Linked DNA regions of Danio rerio. The protein of the gene in region 1 interacts with the protein of each later gene in a biochemical or structural test. Links are inferred from orthologs where the notes say so. Each region holds a gene or a part of one and is shown on either strand. Other genes may lie near its edges. The genes, in order: mcm3l and cdc7.

Region 1 (10,932 bases):
CATTTTTCAGCAATTTTTAATAAACCTAGGAAAATAGATTTTTCACACCACGACCCTTTTAAAGTCATCTTACTTTCGAATGCGCTTTACAAAACTTCTTGATCTTGGCGACATCATCACCAGAGAAGGTGGGTACGATCTCCTTACTCATAAGCTTCACATTGTTAGCCAATAAGATTGTTCTGCAGAGAGTCAAGATGTTATTCTGAGGGGATTCAATATTGATAACTGTAGGACTCTGAACAAACAAACCTGAAGGTCCCTGAGGTGAAACCGCCCTGTTTTGCGGGCAGGCAGCGGTAAACACCTACGATCTGCACGCGGTCACCTGGCTTGACCCGATCCACGAGGTCATCATTGGCAATGATGTCGACAGAGCGTGGCAGTTGTCCAGCGGGGGCTTTCTCTGGCATCTCCTGAATGGTCAGTGTCTGGTGGTCTTTATAGCAGCAAAGGCCAAACTCTGTCTCCAGAGGATTGTTTTCTTCATCCTATGTACAGTAAAGTACAGTAAAAACATTGACAGGATGTACAGAGAGACCATCATCCATGTTTGAGGTAACAAGAAAAACAGATGCTAATGTGATGTGCATGAATGTAGACAAAATAGTTAAAAAAAAAAAAAAAAGTTTTTTAAAGTCCACTAGAGGCGTTTGATTATTTGATACAAATAATTAAATTAAAATTTAACTAAATATTTAACACATATTTAAAATGTAAACTATTTGACTATAAAACAAAAAAACAACAACAAAACAATCTACTTATTTAAAAAATGGAGTTAGTAATTACATTTATTATTCACATTTAAATAAAAAAAATTAGCTTTGAATGAAATTGACTTGAACTGAATTTAAATATAGGTAAATATTTACAAAATGCATTATGTTTCTTCATAAGTATATGGAAAAATTAATAATTAATATATTATTATTTACTGAAATATTCCTTTTATTAAACTTAATTTAAATTATTTCATTATGTATTCAACAAATTTAAATGAACTTAAATGTAAAAACTTTAAACATTTCAGTAAGTGTCTTGAAATAGGCATCATAATACAAGCTTAATAAATTATCATTTTAAATATTCACTAAACAAGTGTATGCATGTATTAACTTTAAACAATTTTAAATAAATTATTTAAATATCAAATTTATGGTTTAAACTCTTAAAATTTGAAGTTTATTCATTTAAATATGTAAACAAAGAACAAATAAAGATGTTAATATTTGTGCCTGTAAATATTACATTTAATTATCAAATGTAACCATTAAACATATTCTCAACTGACAGAGAGAAAGACAGACAGACATAACAAAAAAAAAAAAAACATACTACTATATGTAACCCCGCTGGTCTTAAACCACCCAACCCGCTCCAAGCTGGTATCGAACAGGCGACCATTCGCATGGGAGTCGTTTGCTCTAACATTTAACGCCATTTACAGTAACTCACTTTGGTCGGATAGATGGCACTAGAAGGAAAAGCATCCAATGATGTCAGATCTGTATACTTTCGTTCCAAGGTTTTCTTGGTAGCTGGACAATAGTGGACACTGCGCATAATCTTAGGCCTCACCAAAGAACCTACAGATGGAAAGACAATGAAGACAACCAAGTGGAATAAACATGCACTTGTACACATTTATATCCGATATAGAAATAATATGCAACGTGCATATTCAAAGCTCTGATAAACAATTTAGAAATCAGCGTGTAACATTCTGAACATTACTTTATCTATGTGAAATGACAAACATCAAGTATAGGCAGTTAAATGAGCGCTTACAGGAATGTTTCACCCAAAAAATGTATTTACTCAATTTCTCACCCTCACATGCTTCCAAACCTACACTGAAAAAAAAAATTCAAAGATGATTCCTTGGATTTACTAAATTTTCTTACGTTAAGTGGTCGTAAACAATTTAATTGTGTTGAATTTAAACAAACAAATTAAGTTTAACATGATTCAATTTAATTTATGTGTTTAAAATCAACACAAACAAATTGTTTGCAACAGTTCTGCATGCAACACCTTTTTCAATGTACGAGTTTGTTATCATCTTTTGTGTTCAAAACAATATTTAAAAAAAGAAGCTGCAAGCATGTAACCATTGACTTCCATACTAGGAAAAATAAATATAAGGATGTCACAGCTAAGAAATATCTTCTTTTGTGTTGAGAGAGAGAGAGAGAGAGAGAGAGAGAGAGAGAGAGAGAGAGAGAGAGAGAGAGAGATTTAATTTTATTGCCATTTCAGCTTCTATGGCTATGTCATGGCAAAAATACAATACATCAAGTTTATCACATTTTATAAATACCAATTTTTTTATAATTATAAATATATTCTAACAATTAAAAGTAATCAACAGCAATAAATAATGTCCACGGTAAAATAAATAAATAACAATAATGATAATATATAAGATAAAAATCTAAAACAGTTTATTAAGGTTTCCTTTTGATAAAAGTTGTACAATTTAGATGGGTTTTTTTGTGTTCATCTAAAATCAGATGGTCAATCAAGTTTGGAACAAGTGAAGGATGAGTAAAAGAGAACAACATTTTCTGTTTTGGACGAAACAATTGCTTTAATAAGTAATAAGTAAAGTAAATCTTACTCACACTTGGTCACGATGCCTTCCACACACACAAGGTTTCCCAGAAAGCGAGCACTCAGAGTACGAGGAGACACATGTTTGTTCCCAAAACTGCCCTCGAAACCAACATGAAACTCCTCAAACTGCTTAGCATAAGTGGCATCTATTGAAGCCACGAGATCCTTCAGGGCTTTCTGAAACGCCACCAGCTCAGCGAAAGCATTCTTCAGTAATCTATTAAAAAGAGACACTTAATCAGATCAATAAAGATTCAAGGATATACACTCAAAATTACATTTGCCGCTTCCACTACTTATTTAAAATAAGCTGAAACAACACAATTCAAGCTTTTTTGGGGGAAACCTAACAGTTTTATGTTAAATCAATATCCATTTGTAAAAACTAATAGGTTAACTTATTTTCTTCGAGATGTTTTAACACAAATTGATTGTGTGAAATCCAGCATTTTTTACAGTGTATGGGAGAATGGGGGCAACATGGGGCAGTTACAACAAGACTTATTTCTCCATTAAGGAATGAGCTATGGAGGGATGATATTCATACTACATATTGTCAGTTGGATCCTTCTTCCATCCAAGAGAAATCAGCCATATGTGACCATTTCTTCAGTCTAAAACTCATTTTAGGTATTTAAAAAAAAAAAAAAAAAAAAAAAATAGTTTTTTGTAATGATCAGAAAATTTCTCATACAGCCCAATCTGTTTTTGTGAAACATTATTCATTTGTATAATTTAAATCACTGTTTTCATAGCTTTAAATAGGTATAGCTATCAAGCGTTTGTAACAAGCTATTGTATCTCTCTAGCATGGAATGTTTAATCAAGGTTGACAGAGTTGCTGAACATGCTTCTGTAACTGTCCCCAATTGTTATAAAATTCATTTGAAAGCTTGCCATATTAACAAATGTACAATTTTATTGATCACAGTTTTAATATAATTTGAAAAAAATATTTGATTAATTAATTCATGTCAACATTCTTAGTAGTAGTTTGGTAAAGGTTCAATCTTTCAGTAAAAAAAAAAAAAAAAAAAAAAGTTCAGTTTTTTTAGGCCTTATAATTGGATGTTGCTCGTTTTTTTTTTTTTTTTTTTTTAAGGTTTTGTATTTATATGGCCAACACATTTAATAATTTAACCAATTTTCATTTAGTGGGTTTACCAAAAAATAAAATCCAACTCGAGGTTTTAGATTTTTTTTAAATTATAATTTGAATGAATGTTGCAATTGTCCCTTTCTTTAAGTAATAAATGAAGAATTTATTAACATATCTACACATATTATAGCAATATGGGTGCCTGTCCAACAGAAGTGAGTTTATTGTTTTAAAATTTTGGGGTTCCACAAAAAAAAAATAAAATTGTCTTCGAGAAACTGAAAGAATTGCAAAAAGTGTTGCAACTGTCCCCACTCTCCTCTACAGAGAATTTTCATCACACATCATCAGTCAGCCATATTGGAAACACAGAACGTAAACAATGTGACTGAACTGACTGAGAATCATATTATTTGCTTACTACTGCTGAAAATGATCAATTGTTTTGGGCTTTGCTATTAGATTGTATTAGAATACTGAAAGCCATGTAAAGTCAAGCAGAAGAGAGAAAAAAAAGCTGTCTGAAGAACAAAAAGTGTTTGTGGTTGACCAAACTAATTCACGATTTCCATGGCAAGAATCTTGATAACGTTCATGTTTGTTCTTATAATTTATGCTCAAGCGAGTGTAACATTAGGCTAATCTGGTCAAATGTATCCTTTACCACATGTTAAATCAAAATGCTACACCATATTCTGCTTTAGTAAGTGATTTAGCAGCTTCCATGTTTTTTTTTTTTTTTTTTGTATATTTTAGACAGCAGAGCAACATATAGTACATCAACCATGCTGTTTACACCAGAGTTTCACATGTATCTGGCCACATGTTTGTTACTGACCAAATCCCGAAGAGCAAACAACGTTAAAGAAAAAATCTAAAATTGTCAAAAAAGCAAAATATGAAACAAAATAGACAACTTTTAATCAAATTAATCACTTACTCTTTAGCTCTTTTTTCACTTTTTCTTCTCAGATCATTAATGTTGACAATGAGACGACACTGTCCATCAGACACCATACTCCTGACCTTTTCATGGTAGATGCCCTGATCTTGCTGTAAATTACAATAAAAAAAGATTTAGTTTGACAGACAAAAAACAAAGTTTATACAGTTCAAAATGCCCACAAGTCAAACACATAAAGATTATTCAAATTATTCACATCATCATCCAGAAAGTCCAGATATTCCCTCTGTGACTCTCTCAGCTCGAGGTCCTCTAACCCAGTATCCATTTCTCCTACACGCGCATCAGCATGTGCATTACAATATTTTAAAATAACATTCACAGTTCAACAAAAATCAAATGCACAAACATGAAGCAACCAAACCAAGCTGGTGCAACAGGCCTGACAATCAATTATGTTAATTAGGCTCATTAACTTGAGCATGTGATTATCCAACTGATTTGAATAGAGCTACCCCTATTTCGAACCATGCTTTCATTATGGTAAAAAATATAACAGATAACCATGTGTAGCCTATATCACGTTTTTACTGTAAATACAATGGTTAAACTGTGGTTAGTGTAGCAAAATCATGAATAATTCGTAATTATCATGTTTGTTTGTTTTTTTTTTTTACAAGTAACCATGTTTTATTTGTGTAATGGTAGCTGGACCCTATTAGCAAAATAGATTCTCCTGAACGCTTCTTAAAATGCTCGAGTCAAAAGGACAATGAATGCGCTAGACCCCCTTTGAATTATTCCATTCTTTTATACTGTATTTGAAGCTCTTACAGTGCTCTTCAGTTATTTTACTCCGAGCTGCTTGATACTGTTGACACTCACACATACTGTAGTTGCATAATACGCACATAAATTAGTTCATTTTCGTTTGTTACGACATTCCAGGACGAAGCCTCAGGCTACGGCTCATATGGTTTTATAAAATATTCATTCACGTTTTGGACGAATCTTCCTTTGCTCGGTTCTCTGCAAACAAACTCCTGAAGTGTCTGAAGGCGTTCCTCTTCGGTGACTGACTTTACCATTCAGCAAATAGGATTTGAGTGCGCGCTGTGAAGGCGTGTTTCATTGGTTAGACCTGAACGATTACGCCCCTCTCTATATGTAGTTCCTCAAGCTGGAGAAAAACTGCTTGTTCAGCTCTTATCTGGTAATATATCTAATGTCTGAATCCAATATTTTACATACTAATCAGTTAAGTAAGGGAGCGGGGCACAAAGTAACACTTTTTGGCTTTGGTCAAATAATAAACAAAGGTTTGGGGTTAAACAAACCATTTGTTTTTTTACCAACAAAACACAAGCCTCTCCTACAAATGAGCTCTGGTTGTATAATCGCCGGACTATTGTTTCTTTGCAGTGTTGCCAAAAGTGCCAGGAGTAAAAATGTTACTATTTACCTCACTTCAAGTTGTAACAGACAGGGTTAGTTGTAACACATGCTTAAAAAAAGGCAGATTACACACAGTTTATTTAAAAATTTAAAGTTTACTTTAAATAGTAGCTATATTTTCTCAGTACCTAGCTCAATTTATTTTTTATTCTACACAGCACAGTATGTTTTCCAGAGATGGGTTGCGGCTGGAAGGGCATCCGCTGCGTAAAAACTTGCTGGATAAGTTGGCGGTTCACTCTGCTGTGGCGACCCTGGATTAATAAAGGAACTAAGCAGTCAAGAAAATGAATGAATAGCACGGTATATTTATTTATTTATTGGATAAACACATTTGGATTATACAATGCATTTATTTGTATTATTAGCAGTAAAATATTTTTTGTCTATCAAAAAAAAAAAAATTTCATTTCATTTAAATAGTTCTCAACATTACACTCAAAATTATATATATATATATATATATATATATATATATATATATATATATATATATATATATATATATATATATATATATATATATATATATATATATAGTGTTAGTTTGATTGGTGTCCAACAGTGCGTGGCTTAATTGTAACACTAACTAACTAACCGCGCGGTGTCGTGTTTTCTTCAAAACTGGCTAGCAGTCACTTTGTGTTTTACATCTTTCAAAATGGTTTCATATTTTAGCCTAGAAGATGGTAGTCACAACAATATATTTAAAAAATATTGACTATAATAAAAAATTATTTTAGGTTGCAAAAATGGTTTCTCCGTGTTCTCATCCAAATTTCGCCAAACTTTTTCAATAATTGGCAAGAAGACATCTGCCGACACTGTGGTGAAAACCTCGCAGTCATGCCATGGTTAACCCTGAGCAAGTATACCTTAAATCTCGGTGTTACATTTAACCTCGCGTTACTTTGTGCCTCGCACTCCCCTACCAATGGTTTGAAAATTATAGACAATAAATTTAATCACTTTTACATCAAAAATGTTATGCAGAACCACATTGTTGCCAAAATGTAAACCATTTTATATTTCCTTATTTGAGCAGATTGAGTGGAAAAAAGTTTGGAACTTTGGAAAGTTTGGAAAAGTTTGGTTTTGTTGACATTGGTATGGGGACTGTCATGATTTATATTTATCTTGACTTTGAAAATAAAATTTGATGACAACTTTTTAGAAACAAACATATGAATTAGCTTACATTACTTACTGAATTATTATTATTATTATTATTATTATTATTATTATTATTATTATTATTTCAGTTTCACCTTACAAAAATAATCCATGGGTTGACCAAATGATGATATGACCTGATCTATATATTTAATTATAATTAATTGTATTACATTATAATGCTTGTTTTTCTTTACAAACAATTAAAAATTATTATATTTTATCATATAATTAATAGTTTTATTTGTTACCTTGATGTATTATTTATTTCAGAAGATTTGTTTACATTTAGAATTAAATAAAATATTTGTTGTGCTAAATACTATCCTATTCCAGTATTCATCTGACTGTATATTGACTGTTTATGCTACTTTTGTTCTCAACATATTTTGTATTCAATAAAAAACGGTCTGGTTCTGTTGATTCTCTCGTCAACAAATCAGTGATTGAATCCTTTAGTGAGCTGGTTCAAAAGAATCGATTCGTTTGAGTGAATCAAAAACAATGCTCTTCCCTCGCACTTGCGTATGTTTTGATCGAAGACAGAGCCACTTTTGTTGAGGAGACAGTCCGTGCTCTCAGTCTGTCCTGACCTTTGCTTCTGTTATCGCGTATTGGGTCGTTCAAACTGTGAATAGGCGATCACACAGATAACAAAGTTTGACAGTTCGTTTAGGGACTGCCGCGTCTGATACTTGTATTTTTCACCTGTCTTCAAACCCCAGGTAATCATCGCGAGATTTCACTGACAGGGTTGGTCAAAATCTCATGTCGGCGGAAAAAAGTGGAGTTTTGATTAGGAAAACCAAAACAAATGTGATCAGCGACCTTTATAAACAAGTAAGTTGTCTGTTTTTTTGACGTTGTTGTCGTTTAGAAACATTATTTGGTCATTTACTTCTAATAAAACGAGTTTATTGTTGTTGTTTTTACTGAAGTCAGCTGAAACGAGATACAAGAGTGAGTGAAACTCATTCACCGATACTCAACCACAGGTTACAGTACGTAAACTAAAACAATTAACGGTTGCGGTTTGGAAATTGTTTTCGTATTTTAAGACAGTTACGTTAACTTATTGCAATCAATAATAATGTGGATATTTTACTGTGTATATAAGTATATCCAATGGTTTGTACACAATCAAATTTATAGGCTATACAAACAAACAAACTATCTATCTATCTATCTATCTATCTATCTATCTATCTATCTATCTATCTAACTATCTATCTATCTATCTATCTATCTATCTATCTATCTATCTATCTATCTATCTATCTATCTATCTATCTATCTATCTATCTATCTAACATGTTATCTATCTATCTATCTATCTATCTATCTATCTATCTATCTATCTATCTATCTATCTATCTATCTATCTATCTATCTATCTATCTATCTATCTGTCTGTCTGTCTGTCTAATATATCTGTCTGTCTGTCTGTCTGTGTTTGTTTGTATTGTTATTAATAAATTAAATTTTTACGATGGAGTTGTCTTAAGTCTTTTTTTTTTTTTTTTTTTTTTTTATAAAATTTGTAAACCTCTGCAAACATACACTAAAGTATCTTTCTTTCATGAAGCAATGAGCCAGCCACCCAGAAACCAGCGTACACACAGAGAGAGAAATGGTGAAGAGAGAAGACAAAATGGTGAAAAGAGAGACAGAGACCCCCGCAGTCAACAGGACCGTCCTAGTGACCGACGACCAGGCAATGAAAGGTGAGACGACATACTTGCACAAACTAACAGCATACAAATTTAACTGTGGAGGAAAAAATAAACAAACAGGAAAGATGAGGAAATTAAATATGTTTTGCATATGTTGTGCCTGTTTTTGCATTACTAATCAATTAAATCGTGTATTTATAAATATATCAGAACCAGATCATCTGGCCAGTCCTCATACCAAACCAGAGGGTCTCAGAGACCTGCGAGGAGCACTTCTCAAAGGGAGCACATGGAGTCCAAGTGCACTTACATCTGTTCTAGGAGAGGTAAGCGTTCACTGATGGACATAACAATGATATGTTGGACTAAAAGACAAATGTAGAAGTATGCATGTTTCAATTATGTATTCAAACAACTGCATCAGAGTGTTTGAAACATGTTTGAAGTATTTAACTTGAACCTCAGTTCTACAATTCTAATTTTTTTTAATTTTCATATCTGCAATTGTTTTTATTTTTTCCCCAAGCATGCCATAACACTGCTCTGGTTTCACTCAAGCAAAAGCCACACCTTCCTACCTGACACAATGTTTTTACCCCCTTCCTCCTCACTTCTGGTCTAACCAGTTTAGCATTTTAAAAGCTTGTTGATACAAATATTACTCTTACGAGTCAGTATATTTTTATTTCTGGTAGAGATACCAAACATTTTTTTACCGTTTTTGAATCTGTAGTCTGTAACTTTTTGGGGAGTTAAAATGACCCAGAAAAAATGTTTTGAGCGATCACCTTGTTTTGCTGGTGTTTGTCTTATCGTCAATACATCTTGTCTGTATACAAAGAATGAGTTTCAGTATCAGCAACTGAGCTGCAGGTGGATCATTGCCTTTAATCACAGAATCTGAAATAAATAAACGCATTTATTTATATGGTTTCTAGGCATGGGCCGGTATAAGATTCTCATGGCTCTAAAATATATTCTTTTGAATTGTCTGGGTAAAACAACAAAGTTTTTTAACCCTTGAACACAGCATATTTTATTTTAAGAAACATTTATAATATTTTGGAACAGTAAACATGAATCATTGACTTCTGCTGTCTTCGATTGTTTCAGATTTTTTTACAATTAAAAATTAGCATTTTTGAATATATTTTCTGGTAAATATATCTTTTTAAATTTTAATGTTTACTGTTTACGCTGTTTAATGTTCACACTGAGAAAGGCATTATGCTGAAACATTTGTGTCTTTAAATTAACCGAAGAATGTAAGAAGAAAAAATAAAAACTGTATGAAGCAATTACTTGATGAGTACGAATCATTACCTTTTTGAATCATGGCATTGACAAGATTGGTGCACCAAAGAAGTTTCTTAAAAACCTCAAGCGTTCAGGGCAAGCTTCATCAACTTTTAGGACTATTTTGACGGTCCATGCGCAGAGCGCAAAACGCAGGGCGCAAATGCTTTCAGGGCGTGTCAGAACGCATTTTTGCTAATTTAAGGACAGGAAAATCTGCTTTGCGCCGTGGCGCATGGTCTAAAAGGGTTAAGTTAATTTTCTTAATAAGTTATAGGTGTGTTTTGAGAATAAAGCAATTAGAGTCTCATCTCCCATTCCCTTTAAGAGCCAGCTGCGTCGCGCCATAAGCGCATTCGTTATTTACAGGACGCAAAGTAAGTCTAAGTGGAAAAAAAGAGCATTTCACTCGCAAACAGTTAACAGTTTTTTTTTTTTTTAACAGAAAACTGTTAAACAGAGCATCTACTGCTGAGAATTAGATATAATAGATCTACTTTTACTTTCGCTCTTGGATAGGGAAACCTTTATGCACAGACATCAATTAGTCTATAAATAATTAATTGCGTTTGTTAAGTGCAAATTTTCGTTTCAAAACTATTTCTAAATTCAGTTCTAATTTTTCAGCAAACGAATAAATGAATAATAATAACGAAGTGTGCTCAAAAACCTGAGTTATATCCTAAAACACATGCTGTGCCCCATATGGTCTA
Region 2 (10,280 bases), on another chromosome or scaffold:
ATTTACCGACGCTTATGTTCAGCGTCCTTCATTCTACATCTGTGTAAAACCGTGGAGTGTTTACACAGGAAAAGCGCGCCTCCAAAGTAAAGTTGTTTCAAAATAAAAGCCTTCTAAAGTGGAGTTAAGACAACCCAAAAGATGCCAAATGGTAACCAACTAAGAGTTGCAAGATTTTCTCAAGTTTATCTGAAAAGGGATGCTTAAATTTACTTGTTTGCAAATACACAATACTCCGCGTTAAAACAAAAATGTTATGTTCGAATGGAAAAGGAACCACATTTTTATTTTTGTTTGATTTAAACTTTTTATTTGGCAATAAGCTTTGTATTTGATGTGTCAGTTTAATAAATTTAACTGAATTTAATTTATATTTTTATTTAGAAAATGTATAATTTCGTTTTTTTTAGAGGTTTTTTCGTTTCATCCGTAACAAATGCCAACATCAATGTATTTGTTATAGCCATGGTTGTGTGTTGTTTTTAATTTAACATAATTTTATTTACTTTAGTTTAATTAATTAATTAATTTTATTTTTATTGCAATAACAACAGACAATTACAATGAAAATATAACAAATAGATGTGTAGTAAAAACAATACATATATTACTTTTTTTGCAACAAGAGAAATAGGACCATTTTAAGGATTTATAGCAATGTTTGTTTTATTTTTAAGAAATGTTCATGCATTTTTACCCAAATGGCTTAGTTCCGGTCATGTGACCTTCATCTCAGTTTTAGCGCGGAACTTGGAACCCGTCGGAAAGAAAGACATCGAAAACAAGATCGAAATGTGCCTATAAAAGAACATTAAAGCGTTTGTGGGGTATTTTAAAATATAGTCGTGTTTGTTTAACTAATATTGGGTGAAGTTTTTAGTGTTCAATATCAAAATAAGATCGTGACTTAACTATTGAACTGTGCGCGGTAAGTTTAGTGTTTACGTCAGTTCAGCTGTTTATCCGCCGAGACAGTGTTTCTCATAAACAATAACAGACTTGGAGAAAACATAAACAATAAAAGGTAAAGTTTTACAACTTATTTTCCGCGATACATTTCGACGCTTTGTTTGTTTGCTTGCTTGCTTTTTTTGTTTCCTTACTGTCTCGTATTGTTCTCGTCTTATTTGATGCAGTTAGCGTCTAAATAGTATTATACTTTACCAGCCAAGCTGATTATGAATATTAATATCTAATTACATCCAACAGTTTTCCCACGACAGATTATTAAATCTGTTCGTAATCGTCGGGTTTAATGGAAGAAGCAAATACTGTCCAGAGAAGCTCCCATCGCAGTGTTGAAAAGGGCAGAAGTCGACACAAAATTTCCAGTGAGTGTTAAATAATTTACAGTATGAGCTGTAAAGACTTTTTGAATATTTCATTAAAAAATGAATATTTATACAATTCACTGAAATGCAAATTATCTTTACAAATACACAAATCAAGTATATTAAGTACACCACAAAAACATAATATCAAAGTTTAACTTTTTTTTTACCACAAATGTTTGCCAGTACATTCAGCAACACACTTTATCATATTTTAGAGACATTAGGGTGTTCTGAAGAACATAAAATGTATCAAATTACATTTATTATGCAGTTAACTTTTAACTATAAGTACTTTTTAACTATAGTACATTTAACATAATAAAATATAACAGCATTTAATTAACTGTTATAAACAATTGATGTAGGTCACAGTACATTCTTTTTGTTACTATGTTTTTTTAAGTACGTTTTGTTTTTGTTTATCTCATTACTATTTTTATTTATTCTTAAGTTTCTTTACAAAGGAATTGTTAACTGTATTTAATTGTTAGTATGTTGAAATAATTAACTCTGTGTTTTATCTCTCTTTAGGAGATGTTGAGACGGAAATTGCATATCTGTATGAAGTTCTGCCACAGCTTTCTCGAATATTTCGCATCATAGATAAGATTGGAGAAGGTTTGCTATTATTATTATTGTTATTACTTTTTGTTTTTGCTACGAAATTTATTTATTTATTTTTTGCTAAAAAAATACATTAAAAGACTTTTTTTTGTGCTGAAACCATGGTTTCTGATGATTTATAAAATGCAAGTAAACTACTTCTCGCACTGTCAATAAAAACAAATTCGGACAAAATTTATACAAATGCCCATATGTCAGCATAGTGGCAGATTTAAAAAAATTAAGACTAACTTATACTACTGAGGGAGATATCGTCACTAGTGGGTGAGGCGTCCCCTTCAGATGAAACATACAAAGGGAGAATGTCAATCAAAGTGTTTCTGCTGACTGTATTTATGAAGTGTGATTATAAAATATAAAATTAATATATGTTCGCCATTAGAAGCTGGTTATATTGTTCGACTGTTGCCATATAACTTTGTTTAAATCAATTTTAAAGGGATTTTTGCATATTAGGTTCCCTTTAATGATCTTTTGCATCACTGTATCAACACAGGTACTTTTAGTTCGGTATATTTGGCTGAGGCACAGATGACGGACAGTTCAAGGAGGTTGTTTGCATTGAAACATCTGATCCCTACCAGTCATCCTGTGCGCATCGCTGCTGAGCTCCAGTGCCTGACTGTTGCTGGGTGAGTGATGATGAAAATGTCTAATTTTGACCTTTGTTTTATGTTATTTCGGCTAAATAATTGAAAATATTTCTGAATGAACAAATGTAGGTTTCAGAGTTTTGTTAGAGTGTTTGTCCATTATATCTCATTCCACAGAGGGACAGAAAATGTGATGGGAGTCACATACTGCTTCAGGAAGGAGCATCACGTGGTCATAGTCATGCCATACATGGAGCATCAGACCTTTGTGGTGAGTGTTTGCACTGTGTGTGTGCGCGCTTTTAGGCTAAATGATTTAATAGCATGATGCTACTCAAAAATGTTTCTTCTTTTTGTAGGATATTGTTGGCTTGTTAAGTTTTGAGGATGTGAGGCATTACATCTATCATCTGCTCAAAGCCTTGAAGCACATTCACAAGTTTGGCATCATCCACAGAGACATCAAACCAACCAATTTCCTGTTCAATCGACAGAAGAGGGAGTATGTACCTGATATTCATGTCGTTGTGGTTCTAGTCTAACCTCTGCCTGATACACATGTACACTATTCTAAATATGAATTGCTTCATCAAATTCAAATATCAACTTAATCAAAAAACAATCTTTTTCTAGCTTTTTTAAAAAGTGTAAATGATAACAATTGATCATTCAGTTATTGGGGTATATGCACACAGACATGAGATATAATATAAAGTGGGTAATCAGACCAAACAAGAAGCACTGCATTAAAGCATTTTTTTCAGCGTCATGTGTTAAAAAAAATGGAAATGAATTTTTCTCCAGTATTTTCAATGGAATTTCTTTGCTGGCCTGCGGCTAATAACGGTGCCTGCGCTTAAACGTTTTTTCGTCTTTTTTTTTTTTTTACACTTTAACAACCAAATGGATGCTTAAGTCTATTTAATAAATTATATTTTAATTACATTACAACATTGATGCTGTAAAAGGAACCATATGAAATTAAAAATAGTCACATTAAGCTTTCAGCAGAAGTTTTTGCTCAAAAACACTAGCTGTGCATATACCCTAATGAGTCTTATGGTGTGTTCACACTTGATAGGTTTGATTTGATTAAGTTGAACACTGTAGTTATTGCTCTGTTTGTGTGGGTGATTTGAATAAGTGTGAACACTCTATTTGAACACTGGTGCCCACCGAAAACACAGACCAAGACCCTTGAAATTAAGGTTTTGATCCACTTCCACACATAGTCTAGTGTGGTTCTTTTACAATATGAATGCAGAAATCATGACTATTCTTAATATGAATTTCTTCATTAAATTCAAATATCAATATAATTAAACGACAATTCTTTTTTTATTAGGGAAATTAACAAATCATTTTTTGGGCAGTTATTATCATCAAAAAGATTTGTTGTTCTCAAAGGTGCCAGAGATCATCTTAAAACATTTACAATTTCGTTAAATTTATCCATCAAATCATTCGTTTTTGGAGGTCTAAAGTCTTGGTTCCCATTCTACAAATTAAAGGGTAAAGTCTCCAAAAAAATTTAATTCTGTTATTTATTACTCACCTTTTTTTCGTTCCAATCCTGTAAGACCTTCAAAAGATATTTTACATAAAATCTGAAGCTATAGATAGCAATGGTCGCTAACATTCAAAGTTCAGAAAAGGAACCAAAAACATTGTCAAAACATCCAAGAGCTAAAATAACAGAGCTCTAGGACAACTTTTGTGCGCCAACATTTTTTTTTGTCCTCTACACCAGTGGCACCCAATTCCTGTCCTCAAACATCCACCCTCCACATTTTGTATGTTTTGGTTACTTGACACACAAGGATCTCTCTGTTAATGAGTTGATGATCTGAATCAAGTGAGTTAAGATATACACTTTGCACTTATACACTATGTACTTATGCACTAACACACTCAACAGCGTAGTATATGAATGTAGTGTCGCCCAAAATAGAACACAATTTTTTTTTTTTACTTTCAGTTTCCCAGATTATGTTTGACGGTTGCCTAATTTAGTGAAACAAATTAGTGGTTTGCATTCCCGACCAGTTTTCTGCGGCGCGGCATGCCTATGTGGGTGTCACTTGCTTGGTGTTTAAGTGTGTGTGTGTTATACAGACAGCTTGTTATAGGCTGTCTGGACTCTGTATAGCTGGGTGGTTTTTCGGTTTTGTTCTCCCCCTGCTCGTTAGCGGGAACTGGTGCGGCGGGTAGACAACGGGACGGGCAGCAGTACAACAAATGCTGAACATAAGCTGGAGCGGTCGGGTTTGGGCTAAAACCAGGCAGGAGCGGGATTCAAAATTTAGTCCCGTGCTAAAACAATTGACCAAACCCTCACATGATACCTTCCATGATTTTATTTGCAACTACCATTGGGAGGTGGTATAATAACTCTAGTGGGAGAATTTAGCTTTTAATCCAAAATAAAGTAATCCAACATCTAATTGAGTAATGAGTGTGTGAAGTGTCCAACATAACGCTTCTTTTTAACGGTTAATTAAGTGCATCATCCGGGTACTTAAAGTGCAGTTATTATTTTTAGAGTTTTCAGTGTGAACGCACTACTTGCACAATTTATACTACAAAAAGGCGTAGAATAGTGCATAAGTATGCGATTTGGGACGCACCTATCAGGGCTCGAAATTTTGACCATTTGTCACGTATGCGCCCAAATTTATCTATGCGACCTCAAAATACATTTGGGAGCATTTGTGCGAGTGCATAAAATTGATGTCGTGCAAACAGTTTTCACAGCAAAATGTTCACCACTTGCACGGATTTTGGAGGCATTCACACATTAAGCATCGTTGCACCTAAAAATACCAATCGCAGCGCTCAGGAATGGTTTAAAACAGTTGACATGACAACGTGCTGCAGTAAACAAAGCCCGCAGTGCTTGGCCCCCCTTCAAGCTCTTCTTATTGACCCACTGCGCTAGAACAGAACGCAAATGGATTAGTAAATATCAGCTGTCAATCACTCAGTTTCGATGACAGGGAGCCACAGCCGTGAAAATGTAAAGGGCTGGATACGAGAGAATGAAAACAACGCTGAAAGATTTAGCTTTAGAAACCACCTAAAGTTACAAATAATGGCACATCTGATTAGTGATCATGTGCTGAATGTCAATCCAGCATTTACACTTTTCAAAGAGTGGGTCAAAGACTTCCAGTGTTTAAAGTCTGCAATGAAAATGACTAAAGCATTCACTGTTAAGCCCGTGGGATGGAGTTTTCAGTTAACAGTGTTTGCTACTGAATCTTCAAATTTTAAGCACGAGATGTTCTAACGTTATTAAATCCTACATTTTAATCGTCAAGATTGTGCGACTGATATCGCGTTCACCATCGGTAAAGAGCATGCATTCACCTAGATGGAACTAATATTGCAGCTCATGAAAAGACTGTTACTGTTATTAAGATGATGTATGCAAATAATAAGTTAAATGTCGATATCATCTGTGCAATATCAGACAGCACCCTTGAGAACAGCAGTTATTGTTAACTGAGTTCATCTCATTCACATCAAGCAGTGCGTGCAGGGCTGGTGAGCACATGCAGATTTTTGTTTATTTGTTAGTTGTGATTAGAGTGTTAATATATAATAGAATCTGTTAATACAAACCGTGTAGTAATGGTGCTCATAATTTTTAGTGGGTGCGACTAAATTTTGTCTGGTGCGCCTACATTTTTGAAGTTGGGAGCATCGGTGCTACCTAAACAAACGGTTAATTTAGAGCACTGCCTATACAAAATGTGCAGGGCGGGTGGTCCCAAGGACTGGAATTGGGAACGACTGCTGTTCATTAGCTCAAATGACAGAATTTTCACTTTTTTTGAACTAACCCTTTAAGGCTTTAAATAAGAGCAAAATGGTTTTAAATGTTGTTCACACCTAATCCACCTTTAATAACCCGTGCTGAATGTTGAACACTAAACTGACATTGGGTATGTGCGGTACTTTATTGCACATGAACAAATTAAGTCGGAGGCTCTTTGACTGTTATCTTGAAGTCCAAAAATCCTGATACATGCTGATTTCTTTTCTTTTTTTTCCCTCAGGTATGCGCTGGTGGATTTTGGCCTGGCTCAGGGCACTCCTGACACCCAGATCGAACTGCTGAAGGTGGTCAAATCAAAAGGTCATAAAGGTGGTGGGTCATCTAAGATGGTGGAGGAATCACTGGGAAAACAGAAACTGGTGCCTTTACCACCCAACAGCAGAAACCCTGCTGTCCAGTCCAGCACTAAAGCACCGGCTAAAAGACCCTGCCCACCCTCACGCGTTAAACACAGCAAGGTGTCTGCACTTTATTTAATGAATAAATCATATTTTAAGTGATAATCAGTCAAACTGGGGAGCACTGCACTTCCAGGCCTATATTGATTCATTTCGTATTCATGTCAAAAATATGTGTCCTTCCTCTCAAAGGAACTGATGGGACTTGATAAAGCACCACGGTCTGTATTTGGGGAGAAAAGCATAAACAGCACAAACTCTCATAAACCAGGCTCTGACAAAGTTGAGGTTAGCTCTGTCTCTTCTCACACTGGTTGCATGCGATGCCGTCTGAATAACTATCAGCTCTTCACCTGTCACATTGTGTTTTAGGGATTGCTTTCAAAGCCCAAAAAGGAGGAAGTAATTCCACGCAAGATTGTTTCTGCCAAACATCGCTCCGTCCCTGTCAGAGCACCATTAAATCAGAAACAGAAACTTCCGGCTGAGAGTCAGAAACCTAAACCTGCTGCCGTCAACCCCCTACTCACCTGCAACTGCTACATGACTGACCGCGTCTGCAACATCTGCCTGTCCAGGTACACACTCGTCATCTATACATCAATCCAAACCTTAAAAAGCCTACTGTGGCATGTCTACGGTGAAGAAAAAAGAAAGATCAACACTACACAGTCTACTACATGCATCTATACTCTGTTTTAGCCCAATTCTAAAAACACCCACATTTGTCATGAACTGCTATCAGATTTATTGTTAATAGTGAACTAGTGATAGTGACTAGTGATTAGTTACATTTTGAGTGTTTAATAAGCTACATCAGCCTTTTCAGGAATTTTTTTTTTTTTGCATTTCTCAATAAAAACATTCTATTTGATGGTTTTAATTTAATAGTGTGGTTATTTTTTTCACAGGAAACAGCAGGTGGCTCCGAGGGCTGGTACCCCTGGGTTTAGGGCTCCTGAGGTTCTAACCAAGTGTCCCAACCAGGGAACAGGTAAAGCTAACAAAAGCAATGCTATTATTATTATTATTATTTTGGATGTGATTCAGTATTCCAGCTCACTGTATAGAAAATACTATCTCTTTAACAGTTGGTACAGTTCTGTCTTTTTTTAAAACTTGTTCATGGTTTCCGCCACACCAAAATTGATCCCGCCATGGCTACATTACAACTTTTTATTCATATTATTCAGTTCTGTTTTTTTTAATAGCGGGTGATAATCGTACCAAAACGTATTAAAAGGTAAGTGAATTATAACGGGGCAAACTTTTCTGTAACCGTAGTAGTACTGTGCGTTATTTGTTTAACCCTTTAAGGTTATGTGCTGACTGACAGATGCGTGAGGCCAGCAATTACAACGTATACTAGTTTAACTTTACTTCAGGGCGCATTAATACCGCTCTGTAGGTCTATTGGAGACATTCAATAATATTCCTAGCAAATCTAATAAATGTTGGAGACATACTCGTTACATAAACGCACTAAATCGCACCCAGCAGCATTTATTTGAGCGCGCACAAGAAGATCTGCGCTTGAGCAGCGTATATTTAAGGATGTGCAAGAAGTTTTGTGCACTAGCAGAGGAAATCGGCGCGCAAGCAAAGAGTTTCACATGCTCGTAGGCTATTACATAAATCCGATCTCAACTTGTAATACTGCGCTCACGACATTTGTCATTGAAATAACGCAACAGGTAGTTAGCAGATCTGTGTAAAAAAAAAAAAAAAAAAAAGGCCTGCCACCACAGCTGTAAAAAAATCCTAGTGAAAACACTGTTGTGTACTTTATACACGTCCATTTGAAATTTATAATGGTCATTCTACAATTGCAGGTATAATTGACGTTTTCTTACAGTAGTAACCTATAGGTTATATAAACTTGGGAAATAAGTAAAATAAGAAAAAAAGTTTTATACATGTGTGTGTGTGTGTGTGTGTGTGTGTATATGTGAGAAATATCACACTAGTACCAGTGTGCTATGGCTGTATTCACCTTATTCTCCGCCGACGAGTGGGTGCTGCCATTTGAATCTTTTTGGCTCTAGACTTCCGGTCTCATTCACTTCCATTTATTTTTTTAACGTTAAAAACTGCTCGTTATGCTGCTAGATGTTGCAATTAGATTTTTTTTATTATATTATTCTATTTGGTCTGTATAGTCATGCAAATATTTGTTTGTAGAGCAAGTAGTTTGACCATTTTCTGCTGTTTATTATTCCTAGTCATTTCTCCCATAGGCGACTGAATCGGAAGTTCTAAGACAATCGCGATAACAGGCGCACTTCTGCATTTTAGAATAAGGTCAATATCAGCACTGGTGGGAGGCGTGCTTTGTGCCCCACCAGTGCTGATATACAGCCATAGCACACTGCTACTAGTGTGATAATGCGTTTATACAACAGTTTGATGGCACAATCTTGTACATAAAAAAGAAAATCAAACACAGAGAGTCTAAAACCCTATTGTATTAGGAACTACTATCTTCCACCATTTATTTACATCTGCAGCTGACGTCAGAACAGCAGAAGCTGTTCTGAATCCAGCTTCTTATTCGCAGCTTGTTATTGTCTCTCTCTCTCTCTCTCTCTCTCTCTCTCTCTCTCTCTCTCTCTCTCTCTCTCTCTCTCTCTCTCTCTCTCTCTCTCTATATATATATATATATATATATATATATACATTTATAACAATTAATAAAATTTAATATTAAGTAATTAATAATATTTATGCTTGTATACATACAAGTTTAATAAAATATAGAAATAAAACTTATTTGCACTCCAAAATATATGTACAAAAAAGGTGTGGTTCTTCCCAAGGGGTTCAAAAAGAGCATTTATTAATATGGACTTTTTAGATATAAACCAATACTATTTTAATGTACCGACCCAGCTTTGTGTATATTAATAGACATGCACATCATTCAACTGTTTATTTTATAAAAAAATTTTTAGTTAATTTTTTTTTATTTTAAGAAATAATAATGTATGCAGTCATGCACGTTTTGACAGATAATATGATGGTGATTTGATGCTTCGTAAAAGTTGCAGACACCCGAAATCAAAATGCTTGATGCAAAATTAATTTAAATTCTTTACACCAATTGAGAAACTTAAATTCTATTATACTATAATAAAGAAAATTAGCTCTGAGTTAAGAGTATTTAGCAATTTATTTAGTTTTACATTCAAAGTTCAAAACCTACAACCAACAACAAAAGCGTATAGCTATTGCCTATCATATTTATCAAACCATTTATTACGAAGTTTATGCAATTTTTCTCACATGGATAATTGAATATTACTCAGATGATGTCATTATGGTGCTGTGCCATAAGCCAATCGTTGGTCATGATTTTGAGGATCGATAGATCAGTCCATCACAACAAGTGTACCGATCTCCGATCAGTTAATCCAGACATTTTAATGTTTCGTGAAGTTGTTTGAAGAACCAAATCAGCCAGAGATCAGGTATCATGATTAAAAGTGACAAA

What was found.
Region 2: the proteins of mcm3l (region 1) and cdc7 form a complex in vitro, tested with the Homo sapiens proteins (2 studies listed by BioGRID and IntAct, with this or other methods). The link is inferred for Danio rerio from reciprocal best matches to the Homo sapiens genes MCM3 and CDC7.

Annotation. Positions count from the first base shown.
Region 1 is NC_133195.1:6,682,933-6,693,864, forward strand, and holds the start of mcm3l (MCM3 minichromosome maintenance deficient 3 (S. cerevisiae), like), read right to left. Parts: upstream 5,070-10,932; 5' UTR 4,951-5,069; coding exon 4,879-4,950; intron 4,772-4,878; coding exon 4,659-4,771; intron 2,837-4,658; coding exon 2,628-2,836; intron 1,590-2,627; coding exon 1,459-1,589; intron 492-1,458; coding exon 253-491; intron 183-252; coding exon 74-182; intron 1-73. Other genes in the region: si:ch211-191a24.4 (uncharacterized protein), read left to right, coding at 8,838-8,974, 9,134-9,249. UniProt on the Homo sapiens protein: Acts as a component of the MCM2-7 complex (MCM complex) which is the replicative helicase essential for 'once per cell cycle' DNA replication initiation and elongation in eukaryotic cells.
Region 2 is NC_133177.1:11,293,375-11,303,654, reverse strand, and holds the start of cdc7 (cell division cycle 7-related protein kinase), read left to right. Parts: upstream 1-729; 5' UTR 730-1,024; intron 1,025-1,209; 5' UTR 1,210-1,255; coding exon 1,256-1,331; intron 1,332-1,865; coding exon 1,866-1,952; intron 1,953-2,454; coding exon 2,455-2,590; intron 2,591-2,728; coding exon 2,729-2,822; intron 2,823-2,910; coding exon 2,911-3,053; intron 3,054-6,612; coding exon 6,613-6,850; intron 6,851-6,982; coding exon 6,983-7,078; intron 7,079-7,162; coding exon 7,163-7,368; intron 7,369-7,701; coding exon 7,702-7,784; intron 7,785-10,280. UniProt on the Homo sapiens protein: Kinase involved in initiation of DNA replication. Phosphorylates critical substrates that regulate the G1/S phase transition and initiation of DNA replication, such as MCM proteins and CLASPIN.